3 linked regions of the Diceros bicornis minor genome follow. The protein of the gene in region 2 purifies or fractionates together with the protein of the main gene of each other region. This does not show direct contact. Links are inferred from orthologs where the notes say so. Each region holds a gene or a part of one and is shown on either strand. Other genes may lie near its edges.

Evidence for each region.
Region 1: the proteins of DUSP9 (region 2) and PGRMC1 purify together in Homo sapiens (affinity purification with mass spectrometry; 3 studies listed by BioGRID). This does not show direct contact. The link is inferred for Diceros bicornis minor from reciprocal best matches to the Homo sapiens genes DUSP9 and PGRMC1.
Region 3: the proteins of DUSP9 (region 2) and MAPK11 purify together in Homo sapiens (affinity purification with mass spectrometry; 4 studies listed by BioGRID and IntAct, with this or other methods). This does not show direct contact. The link is inferred for Diceros bicornis minor from reciprocal best matches to the Homo sapiens genes DUSP9 and MAPK11.

Annotation. Positions count from the first base shown.
Region 1 is NC_080781.1:109,852,008-109,855,749, forward strand, and holds the start of PGRMC1 (membrane-associated progesterone receptor component 1), read left to right. Parts: upstream 1-1,349; 5' UTR 1,350-1,423; coding exon 1,424-1,751; intron 1,752-3,742. UniProt on the Homo sapiens protein: Component of a progesterone-binding protein complex. Binds progesterone. Has many reported cellular functions (heme homeostasis, interaction with CYPs). Required for the maintenance of uterine histoarchitecture and normal female reproductive lifespan.
Region 2 is NC_080781.1:137,717,929-137,721,670, forward strand, and holds the start of DUSP9 (dual specificity protein phosphatase 9), read left to right. Parts: upstream 1-840; 5' UTR 841-953; intron 954-3,742. UniProt on the Homo sapiens protein: Inactivates MAP kinases. Has a specificity for the ERK family.
Region 3 is NC_080764.1:541,842-545,583, reverse strand, and holds the start of MAPK11 (mitogen-activated protein kinase 11), read right to left. Parts: upstream 2,530-3,742; 5' UTR 2,231-2,529; coding exon 2,055-2,230; intron 1,638-2,054; coding exon 1,508-1,637; intron 1,424-1,507; coding exon 1,365-1,423; intron 1,284-1,364; coding exon 1,172-1,283; intron 1,082-1,171; coding exon 1,052-1,081; intron 965-1,051; coding exon 917-964; intron 837-916; coding exon 722-836; intron 363-721; coding exon 291-362; intron 50-290; coding exon 1-49. UniProt on the Homo sapiens protein: Serine/threonine kinase which acts as an essential component of the MAP kinase signal transduction pathway.

The DNA.
Region 1 (3,742 bases), about 28 Mb from region 2:
ATACGCACTTTTAAATGATTTAAGAAGATGGGGTTGGGGGCAGGGATGGAAGCAGTTTGTGCCAGAAATTTTTAGAATTCTGAAGTAAGAAGCCAATTCTCTCGAGTCTCCTGCATGTTGGGAGGGGGAGTATATTATGCGCAAGCGAACAGAACTCTTGATGGAAAAGTACTGCTCTGGGCTGCAGATGTGTGCATGGCTTGGTTTTAATTATTTTTTCTCCTTCTCTCTGTCCTTGCTTCCGCTCCCCTCCCTTGCCACAATAAAGAGGGCGGCCAGATTAGGACTCTAAAGGGTATAGACAGCCGTTCCTCGGTCAGCACATCAAAGCCCAGATGAAATACCTAGGAGAGGAAAGGAGCAAATCTAGGATCCTTCCAAACTCCTGCCTTCGTCTGGGCTCTGGCACAGGGTTATTGTGACTGCCAAGGGTAGCTCGATAGACTTCAAATAGAAGAATGCTGCCAAAGAAACTTTGGTTATTATTCTGAGGCAAAAAAAAAAAAAAAAAAAGCACAGCAGAACGTTGCTTGCTGATGCCTTGGGACTGAGCAAATCAGTGATTGCAAAAGGGTTTAGTTTTCCGAGTATGAACCCAAAGTAAATCGGGCGATCCGATCTGTTTCCCCAGATATGGGGAGGGTTGTCAGACGGGGGCCTGTGCACTGACTGTAGCTATCCCGGGAGTATCTGCCCCACAGTATCTGGGGATTAGAGAAGGGTGGTCAAGGAGAGCGAATGGGGGTTTCCAAGGTGAAAATGGGTAGTCTGGGTCTCTAAGGTGGAAAAAGGAGCTCGAGGAGTGAGTTTCCTGTCTCCTAAGACAGCCTCGTGGTCCCGAAGGATGGCCAGGAAAAGAGGAGGCTTCGGAATGGAAGGCGGGGGAGAAGTCTGAAGAGAAATGGAGTCGGTGTTTGGCGCGCATCAGGTGGCGGAGGGGGCCTCAGACAGTGCCCGGCAAAGCCAAGGCTCTCGGAGCGGGTCGGTGTGCGGGGAGCAAGCGCGGGTGAGGAGGAAGGCCGCGCGCTGCGTTGCTGTTAGCCAAAGGATGGCGTGAGCATGGCGTGAGGTGGGGGCGGGGGCCTCGCAGGTAGAGCTGAGGAGCTGACTCCGCTCTCGCGGCGGCGGCGGAGGCGGGACCCGGGGGGGGGGGGAGGGGAGCCACGATCCCGAAGCAAGTTGGGGGGCCTGAGGTGGGCGAGGCGGGACTGAGCACCGCCGGGCGCATGGGCGGCTTCAGAGGAGGCGGGGCTGGGAGGCCCCGCCCACTTAGGCCCCGCCTCTGTCCCGCCTGGCCCCGCCTCCGCCCCTGGCTAGTCCCTTGTCCGCCGAGCCCTGCGCGCCACTAGCTCGCTGAGAGGGAGGAGAAAGCAGTTAGTTCCGGAGCCCTCCCGAGCGCGGCCCAACCTTTGCTTCAGAGATCATGGCTGCCGAGGATGTGGCGGCGACAGGCGCCGACCCGAGCGAGCTGGAGGGCGGCGGGTTGCTGCACGAGATTTTCACATCGCCGCTCAACCTGCTGCTGCTCGGCCTCTGCATCTTTCTGCTCTACAAGATAGTGCGCGGGGACCAGCCAGCGGCCGGTGGCGACAGCGACGACGACGAGCCGCCCCCTCTGCCCCGCCTTAAGCGGCGCGATTTCACCCCTGCGGAGCTGCGGCGCTTCGACGGCGTCCAGGACCCGCGCATACTCATGGCCATCAACGGCAAGGTGTTCGACGTGACCAAAGGCCGCAAGTTCTACGGGCCCGGTAAGGCGGCCGGCCAGCGGGGCGCCGAGACAAAAGAGGGGGCGCCCGCGCGGGGCTGGATCTGGGAGAGGCGAGGGGGGATCGGGGCGCCCCCGAGGGGAAGAATGGCGGCGAGCCAGGGAGGGCGGGCAGGCGGCGAGCCAGGCGGTCGTGGCAGGGCGGCTCCCCGGGTGGGCAAGGGGCACAGGGCGCTCTAGAAGGGCTGCGGGCCAGTGGGGAACGCAGATTCCCGGCCCGCGCCGCCAGCGCCGGGATGGGGGGTGGTGGAAGAGGGCTGAAGCGCTTAAGCCGCGGGTGGGTGGGTGAGATCGCTAGGCTGGAAGCGGGGTGGGCACAGCAGAGCACAGTATTATGGGAGTTTCGAAGGTATCGGGTTTGGGGGTTCCTGGAAGGAGGAGGAGGTGGTATCGGGCTGGAGAAAGGAAATGAAGGTGTCTCGAGGGAGGGCAGGAGGAGGCAGGGCCAGCCTTGGAGAAGACGAGAAGGCCGATGACGCCAAGAGTAGCCATGGTGGAATGTGAGGGTGTGGGAGAAAGAAAGCAGAGTTGGGATTAGCAGCAGGTAGAAGCATTTTGCGTGGTGGTGAGTGAGGGATGTATGTGTGCGTATTCGGTGTATGTGGCTTGTCAGGCGTGTGTGTGTGTGTGCGTGCGCGCGCGTGCGCTTGGAATGTGGCATGTGTCAGGTATGTGTGTGGCATGTGTTTGGTATGTGTGTGTGCGTGCTGTGTGTGCCAGACGGGGAAAAGCTGGAAGGTGAACAGGGGAGGTTCCATGAGGGGAAGGGAGCTTATTGAGGGAGGAATGAAGGCTGAATGTAGCGGACAATGGGAATGTGACAAGATGAGAAGGTAATACGTATTTTAGTCTATAGCAGGAGAGAAAGGACTAGAAGGCAAAAAAAAAAATTAAAAATGGAGGGAGGGATAAGTGGGAGGATCCTGAGAAACAAAAGGGGTAGGGCTATGGAGGCTGCTGGGTGTGGGGATTTCAGGAAAAGCCAACCAGAGGGGAAATGAGGGGTGGATGACTGCTGAGCTGTTGGAGGGGGCAGGCTTGAAGTGGCCTGGGAGATGAGGCTTTTCCAAGCCTGGTTGCAGATCAGAATCACCTGATGCGCTTAAGGAAAAATACAGATTCCAGGCCTAATCACCATAACCAGGGAAGAGTCTCTGTGGGGGAGGTCCAGGAATATGCATTTTAACAGGCTCCTCCAGGCGAATTTGAGAAGCGGCCAGGTTTGGAAAGTCCTGCTTTCTAGAATATTTGGAGAGGAGGAGGAAGAGATTTTAGCTTCTCCAATATGGACTCCTCTAAAACAGGGAGCTCAGGGAGTGTGTCCACATCGATGGTGCCCTCTCCCCGCTGGTCTGGAGAGAGGGACGAGTATATAGAAGGCAGCAATCTGGTCATCCTCACTCCTACTTTGTTTTGCTCTCCCAGTCCAACTAATCAAAATCAGATATGTGAAGGTTCTTAAGGAACTCTCCCACTTAGTAGTTTTTCCTTGTGGACGATTTAGAAGACCTACTTTCTGTAGGCATGTAACTGTCAAAATAATTTGAAAACCACACCTATATTATTTGTCACTTATAGTGGCACACCTAGAGGCATTATCAATAAACATATTCATGTAAATACCTGTTATTAGTGAGCTACACCATAAAGTAGTCAAAACATGTGCATGGGCCACCATCATATGATTGTAGTTTGCAGAGTCATTGAGAGGAATGTAAGCCTGTGCACAGAGCACAAAACTAGGGGTCAGGCAACCTGGATTCTAGTCTGGTTGGATCACTGACCTGCTGTGTACCTGGTGCAAAGCATTGTTCTCTCTGGGCCTTAACTGTTCCTCTGAAAAATGATAAGGATGGCCCTTTGTGAGATCTCTAAGTCTCTACCCTGCACTGTCATCCAGTGAGCCCATGAATATGTGACATCATATGTAAATGATACTTCATGTTATAAGGGATTCCTAAAAATTATTCATTC
Region 2 (3,742 bases):
ACAGCCAGCCTGAGCCCAGTAAGGCTCTGCCACTACATTATTGCGTGACCACCAGGAAACTGTTGCCTCAGTTTCCCTAGCTATAGCATGGGAACAGTCTCCTCTGACTCTCAGACTGGTGTAAGGAGAAAATGATGTGCCTGATGGGGATGCTTGCGGCCTTTGGTGCAGAGGAAAGCAAAATGGCCCTGCCGAGAACACCCCTCCCAGCCCCTCCCCCGCCGCCCTGGCTCCACCCCTTCCAGGCACTGAGGCTCAAATACCAGAATCTGATACATGAGAATGGGAGAAGACAGTGCAGGGGGACCTGGGGCTTGGGGAGGTCACTTGCAGTGCTGTCAGCTGGACCTTATACCCTCTCCCCTATGGCAGCAGGAGATGGCCCTGGGGGCCAAGCTGTGCCCGGTCCTCGATGGGCCCCTTCGCTTCTCTTGCTGGAAGCAGACTCTTTGCTGCGACCCTCCCCCAGTCCAGGTCCAGCCTAGGTCAGCGCCCCTCGCCCCGCTCCTGAGCCCCAAGCTCGGGGACCCCACGCAGCAGGGCTTTGGGGGGATGGGGGCTGCAGGGCGCATCCCAGAGAGGAACCACGGCGGGCGGAGCGGGCGGACGCTTGCAGGTGGGAGGAAGGCAAGCGGGGCCGGGGGAGGTGGAAGGAGACGCCGGGCAGGCAGCGGCCCCTCCCCGCTCCCTCCCTGCACGCCGCCAGCGACATTGCCCCTCCTGGGCAGGGGGCGGAGAAGACGGCGACGGGAGGGGAGGAGGCGGCGGCGGAGGCGGGATTTGGAGTTTCCCTCCGCAGCGGCGGCGGCGGCCGCTCGGCTTCAGGCGAGGCCGCCGCCCGAGGCTCCGGCGGCGCTCCGCGGCAGCGGCTGTGGCGCTTCCCGCCGCCCGGGATTCGGAAACTTCCCGACCGCGACGCGCGGAGCTGGCGCAGGAAGCCGAGCGGACCGGAGGTGAGCGGAGCACGCGGCGCCCAGGCACCCCCCCCAACCCCCCACCCCCCCCACCCCCATTCGGCCTGGCAGCGCCACCGACGTGCACTCCTCCACCCTGTACCCCCAAAGTCTTGCCGACGCGCACCCCACAGGGCCGACGCACACGCCTCAGCGAGACCTACGCACACGCCCTTGCGAGGCCCACTCGGTCCTGCCACCACACACCCCCGCATCCCACCCGTGCACCTCCCGTGTCCTGCGCCATGCACACCCCCTGCCACTTACATGCGCGCGCACAAATCATGCACCGTGGACCCGGGTCCCTGCAGTGCAGTGCACACACCAGCAGCCCCTAACCCACCACCCACCGCTGTCCCCAACTCAGGCGGGAACCCATCCCAGACCCTGCCACGCCCCAGTACACACTCAGGCACACGCACACACTCCCGACACATCCCTGCGATATCTGCACTAACATAGCTCCCTCACCGTGCCCCCACCGTCTCCAACTCCCCATATGCTCATTACAGACACCCCACCCACGTTCCCAGCCCAGAGACACGAAATCCACCCACCCCCCAGCAAAGCCCCAATTCTAACCCACACCCCAGCGGCCGACACTTCCCACTCTCCATAGCCAGGCCCACTCCCCAGGCATACACCCCAACATGTCTGCACACCTGCTGGATTCACACTTCTAGCACCCTGCCCCGCCCCCATTGCAAATAGCCCTCAACACCCCTCTGCACAGCCCTGACTCCCTTCCACCACCACCCTCAACACCTGGCCCGCCGGGTATAGATGCTGCAGCATTTGGTGGCTCTCAGGCACCTCTGGCTTGCTTTGGGCAGCCGCTGGCCCTCCTGAGGCCCCCGAGGTGCCTCCCTAAACAGACCTTGAGTCTCTTCAGTGACTGGCTTGCCCTCTTCCCTAAGAGATAAAGAAGGCACTTGGGGCTCAAGGTACCCTACTTAGATGTCAGGGCGTGGGGAGGGGGGCGGGGAGGAGGAAGGGAGAAGCAAGCATTGAGATGCAGGCGGCCCAGCTGGGATCAAAGGGGTGCCAGTTGCCCAGCCAGCGCATAGTAGGTCGTGGATTCCATGAGGGCAGGAGTCTGGGTGCAGTGTGTGTGCCTGTCTGGGACTGTGCTGGGGGGAAGGCTGTGTGTGCACGTGTGCTTGTGCGTGTCTGAGGGGGCTAGTGTGTGGCCCGCTGAGAAAAAGAGCAAGAGCAGCACCCTCCTGGGTTCCCTCATGCAACAATTGGTTTCATTCATTCTTGCCTTCTTTGTTAACGAGCATTTCTTCCGTGAGCGCTGGGGCGTGTGCTGGGCCCAGCACTGGGGGCTAGGACCAGCTTGGGGCCGGGCATACCCCAGCTCCTGCCTTGGAGGAACTCCCAGTTCCGCGAGGAGACTGACCAGGAAAAGCAGAAAGCCATCGCCAACAGAAAGTGGATTTGGTGGAAAAGGCACTGGATTGGCAGGAACGCTGTGGCTGGCAGTTGTGTTCCTGGCCATGTGACCGGGCCGCGACAGCCGAAATCCTGCCAATCAGCCTGGCGGGAACCGTGCATTCCGGGGTGAGGGGATGGAGGGGAAGGTGGGGTGCCGCTCTCTGGAGGCTCCGGGGACCAGAGGGCGCACGCGGCATGCGTGGGGCCTACGGGCAGCAGGCGTCCCCGAGGCCTACAAGGAGCATTGACCGGGCCGGCGGAGGCTGGAGGCGCCCATAGGGGGCTGGGGCGGCGGGCACAGCGCCCACCCTGCGAGTGGGTCTGGCGAGGCCCTGGCACACAGCGCTGCCTCCCCCTGCCCAGCCTGCCCTGGGAGCAGCGTGGGGCGGGGCGGGGCCCAGAGCAGACGCTGCAGGGGGCCTGAGTACCTGGCGCCCCGGCGAGGGTCGAGGGTCGAGAGAGGGGGGGCTTGGCTACGCTCAGCTCTGCAGTGCGGAGGTGGCAACAGGTTCCAGTTTGTCCTGCTGCTGGCGCAGCGGGCGCTGCTGCCGCCCAATGCATTGAGCACTCCCCTCCTGAGCGCTTTCTCCCGCTGGGAGAGGCTTGCCAGCAGGGGTCTGGAGCAAGGTGCAAGGGAGCCACTCTTCAGGCGTTGGGAGACGCAGGTGCCTGCACAATCCCACCCTGAGGGGGTTCTTGGAGCCTAGCTTCCTCTCCCTTCACCAGTGCAGAAGTTGCCTCCCTCCCCATCCCCATCTTCCCAGCCTGGCTCCCATCACCTCCTCCAGGGAGCCCGTTCCAGAAAGCATGCCTCCGAACCTCAGGAGCTCCTACCTCCCTCGGGGTTGGCGACCTTTTCTTTCTCCAACCACACTGAGCCCCATGACAAGGAAGGTAGGGGCATGTATCTCTCCATCTCCCTGTCTGGCGTTGCCACCCCCACTACCCACAAGGCGGCCAGGCTGGCACATTGCAGAGTCCCTTGGTGCCTTCAACCCCTGCCCACCCCAGGGTCCCGCCCACAGCTGCAGCGGGCCTGGAGGGAGCCCCCAGGCTTGGGACTCATGGCCAGGTGGCAGCCCACCTCTGCCTCTGGGAACTAGGATGTGTGGGAAAGGAGATGACAGAAGACAAGAGTCCTTGCCCTGGAGCAGCGAGACAGGGAGAAGTGGGCCCTGCTCCAGCCCCAGCCTCCCAATCTGCAGCTCTTGGGCATTGCAGCCTGAGGGCACTGAGGTCTGGAGCAGAGAGGAGAAAGGCTACATGCTGGCTCAGGAAACAGAAGGCCACCCCGGAGGAGGGTGTTTAGGGAGGGCCTGAAGAAGGAGCAGAATCTGGACAGGCTGAAGAGG
Region 3 (3,742 bases), on a different chromosome or scaffold from region 2:
GGGCTTGGTGTGCCCACCACCTCCATGATGCGCTTCAGCTGGTCAATGTCTGCCCGGCTCAGGAAATGACCACTGGCCAGGCACGGACCCTTCCCGGGCCCCAGAAGCCAGATCTTAGGGCACTGCCCAGATCCTGCTCTCCTACAGCTGGGGACAGTGAGCCCAACGTGGCACGCAGTGGGGCAGACGAGGCAAGACTGGCCAGAAAGGGCCAGAGCCCCCCTCCCTCGACCCTACCCCACAGAGGGGCCCCTGGTTCAACGTTCCTTCCCAACTTGGGCCAAGGATACAGTCGTTTCCTGGGAAGAGGGCCTTTCCCTGGAGCAGCTCGGCCATGATGCAGCCCACAGACCAGATGTCCACTGTTGAGGGAGGGTCTCCATCAGTCCCCAGTTCCTCCTCAGAGAGCTAGTGGGCTGCTTGGCCTGTGCCAGCCCAGTGGCCTCTCAGTCACACCCAGGCCCAAAGACAGCAGGCCCTTCCTCCTCCACACAGCCCTGGGCAGGCAGAGGGGTTAGCCCATGACCCAACATGCTCGGCCCCTCCAAAGGTCTGTTTTTGAATGCTGGTCCCAGACCTTTCCTGTCCCCCAAGACAGGACACACACCTCCAAAGTCCTTGGCTTTTGGCCTCACCCCCACTCGCCCTCCACAGGCCCTGGTGTGAGCTCTGCCTACCCACCCCGGTCCCACGTGGCTGCTCCCATGCGGGTTGACATCACCTGTCTGGTTGTAGTGCATCCAGTTGAGCATGATCTCAGGTGCGCGGTACCAGCGTGTGGCCACGTAGCCAGTCATCTCCTCGTCAGCCTGGCGCGCTAGTCCAAAGTCCAGGATCTAGAGCGGCCACCAGGGTTGTCAGCGCATGCCCCTCCCCGCATACCCCTCCCCACTGCCCAGTGCGCCCCACTGCTCACCCTAAGCTCGCAGTCCTCATTCACCGCCACGTTGCTGGGCTTCAGGTCCTGCAGGGCAGGCAGGGCGTGAGCGCAGGAGGAGTCCTGCAGCCAGGCCTGCAGGGAACCGGCCCCTCACCCCTCGGCCACACCTACCCGGTGGATGATCCCTGCCGAGTGGATGTACTGCGAGGGGGAAGGCGCAGCGTCAGGTTCCCGTGCTGCCGTGCCCCCGTGCCCCCCGCACCTCCCACGCCCCCCCCCCCCCAAGCCCACCTTCAGCCCGCGCAGCAGCTGGTAGACAAGGAACTGGACATGCTCGTCGCTCAGCGCCTGGCACTTGACAATGTTGTTCAGGTCGGCGCCCATCAGGGTGGTCACCAGGTACCTGGGTGGGTCAGGGATCAGGACTGGCCCGCCGACCCCTCCCTGAGCACACTCCCGGGCCACCCATCCTCTGGCCTCTCACACTTCGCTGAAGTCCTCGATGGAGGTGGCCGGCGTGAAGACGTCCAGTAGCCCGATGACCTGGGCGGGAAGGGAAGTCAGGACTCGGCCTTGCCCACAGCGGCCCTCAGGCTGTGCATCCCCCACGGGGAGCCCCCAGCTCACGTTCTCGTGCTTCAGGTGTTTGAGCAGCCGCAGCTCGCGGTAAGTCCTCCGCGCGTGGATCAGCGACTGGAAAGGCCGCGACAGCTTCTTCACCGCCACCTTCTGGCGCAGCCGCGCGTCGTAGGCCGAGCTGCAAGGCGGGCGAGTGAGGCGCCGGTGGAGGGGCCCAGCCGGTACGCGGCCCCAGGCCTGTCCGGGCTGAGGGCCGAGGGGCAAGGGTGGGGTCCACGCACAGACGCTCCCGGCAGCTGCTCCTCCACCCCTGCTCGTCCACTGCTCTCCTCCCTCTGCGCCTTTGCTCTAAGGGACTCCTTGGAGGGGGCTGGACCGCCGGCCACCAGCAGGTGCGCCTCTGCGGGGCCCCAGGGGCAAGAAGGTGACTGGCACGTGGGAGGCGCTCTGACGACAACACTCCCAAACAACACTCCCACGAAACCTCTTCTCACCGCCCCCTCGGGTCCTGCTCCTTCTCAAGAGGCAGCTCACCCTCCACTCCACCCCTTCACCCCCAGCATTCCCATATCTGCAGGGGCCCAGCCTGCCCCACCTGGGAGCCCCAGGGCAGGACCTGGATCTTCTCTTGTCTGCTCCTCCCAATGACTCTCGCCCCCAACTCAGCACAAGGCGGGGGTGGGGGAGTCTCTGCCAGCCAGCCTGGAAATAACACGTCTGGGAAACAGCCCCTGGCATGTCCCCAAGCAAACGGTCCTCCTCCTCCCCCATGGGCCTGTGGGTGCAGGAGACTCCCCGAGGGGTTCTAGAGCTGCCTCCAAAGCCCCTGAACCCCCAAAGCCTCTGAATATTCAAAATACGGAGGAAAAACTGGCCACAGGATTTACTGCATCGTTTCTAACAGTGAGAAACTGGCCAGCAGGGAATGTCCAGCAGTGAGTGGTATCTGGACCCACAGAACATCTCCCCTTGCCCAACCTCACTCCCCAGGGGCAGAGCCTCCACCTCTACACCAGCCTCCAACTTATCTACTCTTCACAGGAGCCCAACAGTCACTGGCATTATCTTCAAACACACATGGTCCAGCCACTCCCTACCCTCCCACCCTCCCATTGCCCTCAGGATGGGGGCCCTGCTGAAAGCAATGCCTTTGCACAGGCTGTTCCCCCTCACTGATGCTCATCCCTTCCCCGAAGAGTGAGTGGAGCCTCAGGCCCCTCCCCATGCCCACACCGCCCCCAGGAGCAGCTCCTGCAGGACAAGGGATGCTCACGGGCCCAGAGGGTGGTGGAGGAAAGCCAGCTCTGAGCCTGGGGCATCTGTGCCCCTTCCCCTAGCCTATGACCTGCTGGGGAAGGTCCAAGTCACTCCTTGGATTCCCCCTCCAAGGATCGTAGGGGGAATGGTAGGTGTCTCTGCTCAGCCCTAAGCCACAACCAGGCTGGGAAGTAGGGGAGTAGCCCCTCATATGGGGCAGCAGATCCTTTTGCCCAATTGCATCTGCCCAGTCCAGCGACAGGGAATTGGCACTGGGTTGCCAGCCTCATCTGAGGAGCGAGAGAGCCCAGCAGGGGTCATCACTAGCATAGGGGCCATGCTGAGGTAAGGGCACTAGAGACTCAGGCCACCTTTGGGGAGGGTGACACTCCCTGGGAACTCCCAGAAGGTTATCCTGGGCCGGAGGCAATTCCAGCAGGGGCTCTGTCAGATCCCCCGGAGGGCCACTCACACATTGTCTCTGACTCTCTTCCTGCCTTTGAGGTCTTAGAGATGAAGATGGAGGCCTGCCTGAGGTTCCTGATGGCTGGCAAGTGACAGTGTGACATCGGAGGCCCCTGGGACCCAAGCCCCTGCTCCAGGCTCCAGCACTGGGCCATGGGAGGGGATCCAGGAAATCCCACTCAACCTTCTGCCAGAGCCTGGACAACACTCCACCCCCAGCCCTCCCTGCCTCCCCACCCCCATGACCCCACAGAGGCCAGCCCCACTGGGTTCTGGGGGGAGCACCTCTCAACATCCACTCCCAGGATGAGCCTCACTGTCAACATTGCAGCTGCAACCGGGACTCCCGGTAACCACTGAGCCCAAGCGCCCTCCCCCAAACAGAGGCTGCCCCGAATCTGCCTCCCCCGCACCCCCCCCAGTCTGTCGTCTGTCTAGGCCCCAGGGCCTAACTCCCTGGCTGTGATCTGAGCTGTCTTGTTTGGGGCAAAAGTGGGGTGGGGTGGGGTGTAGACCCCCCTAAGGATTGTAGGGCAAATGGTAGGTGTCTCTGCTCAGCCC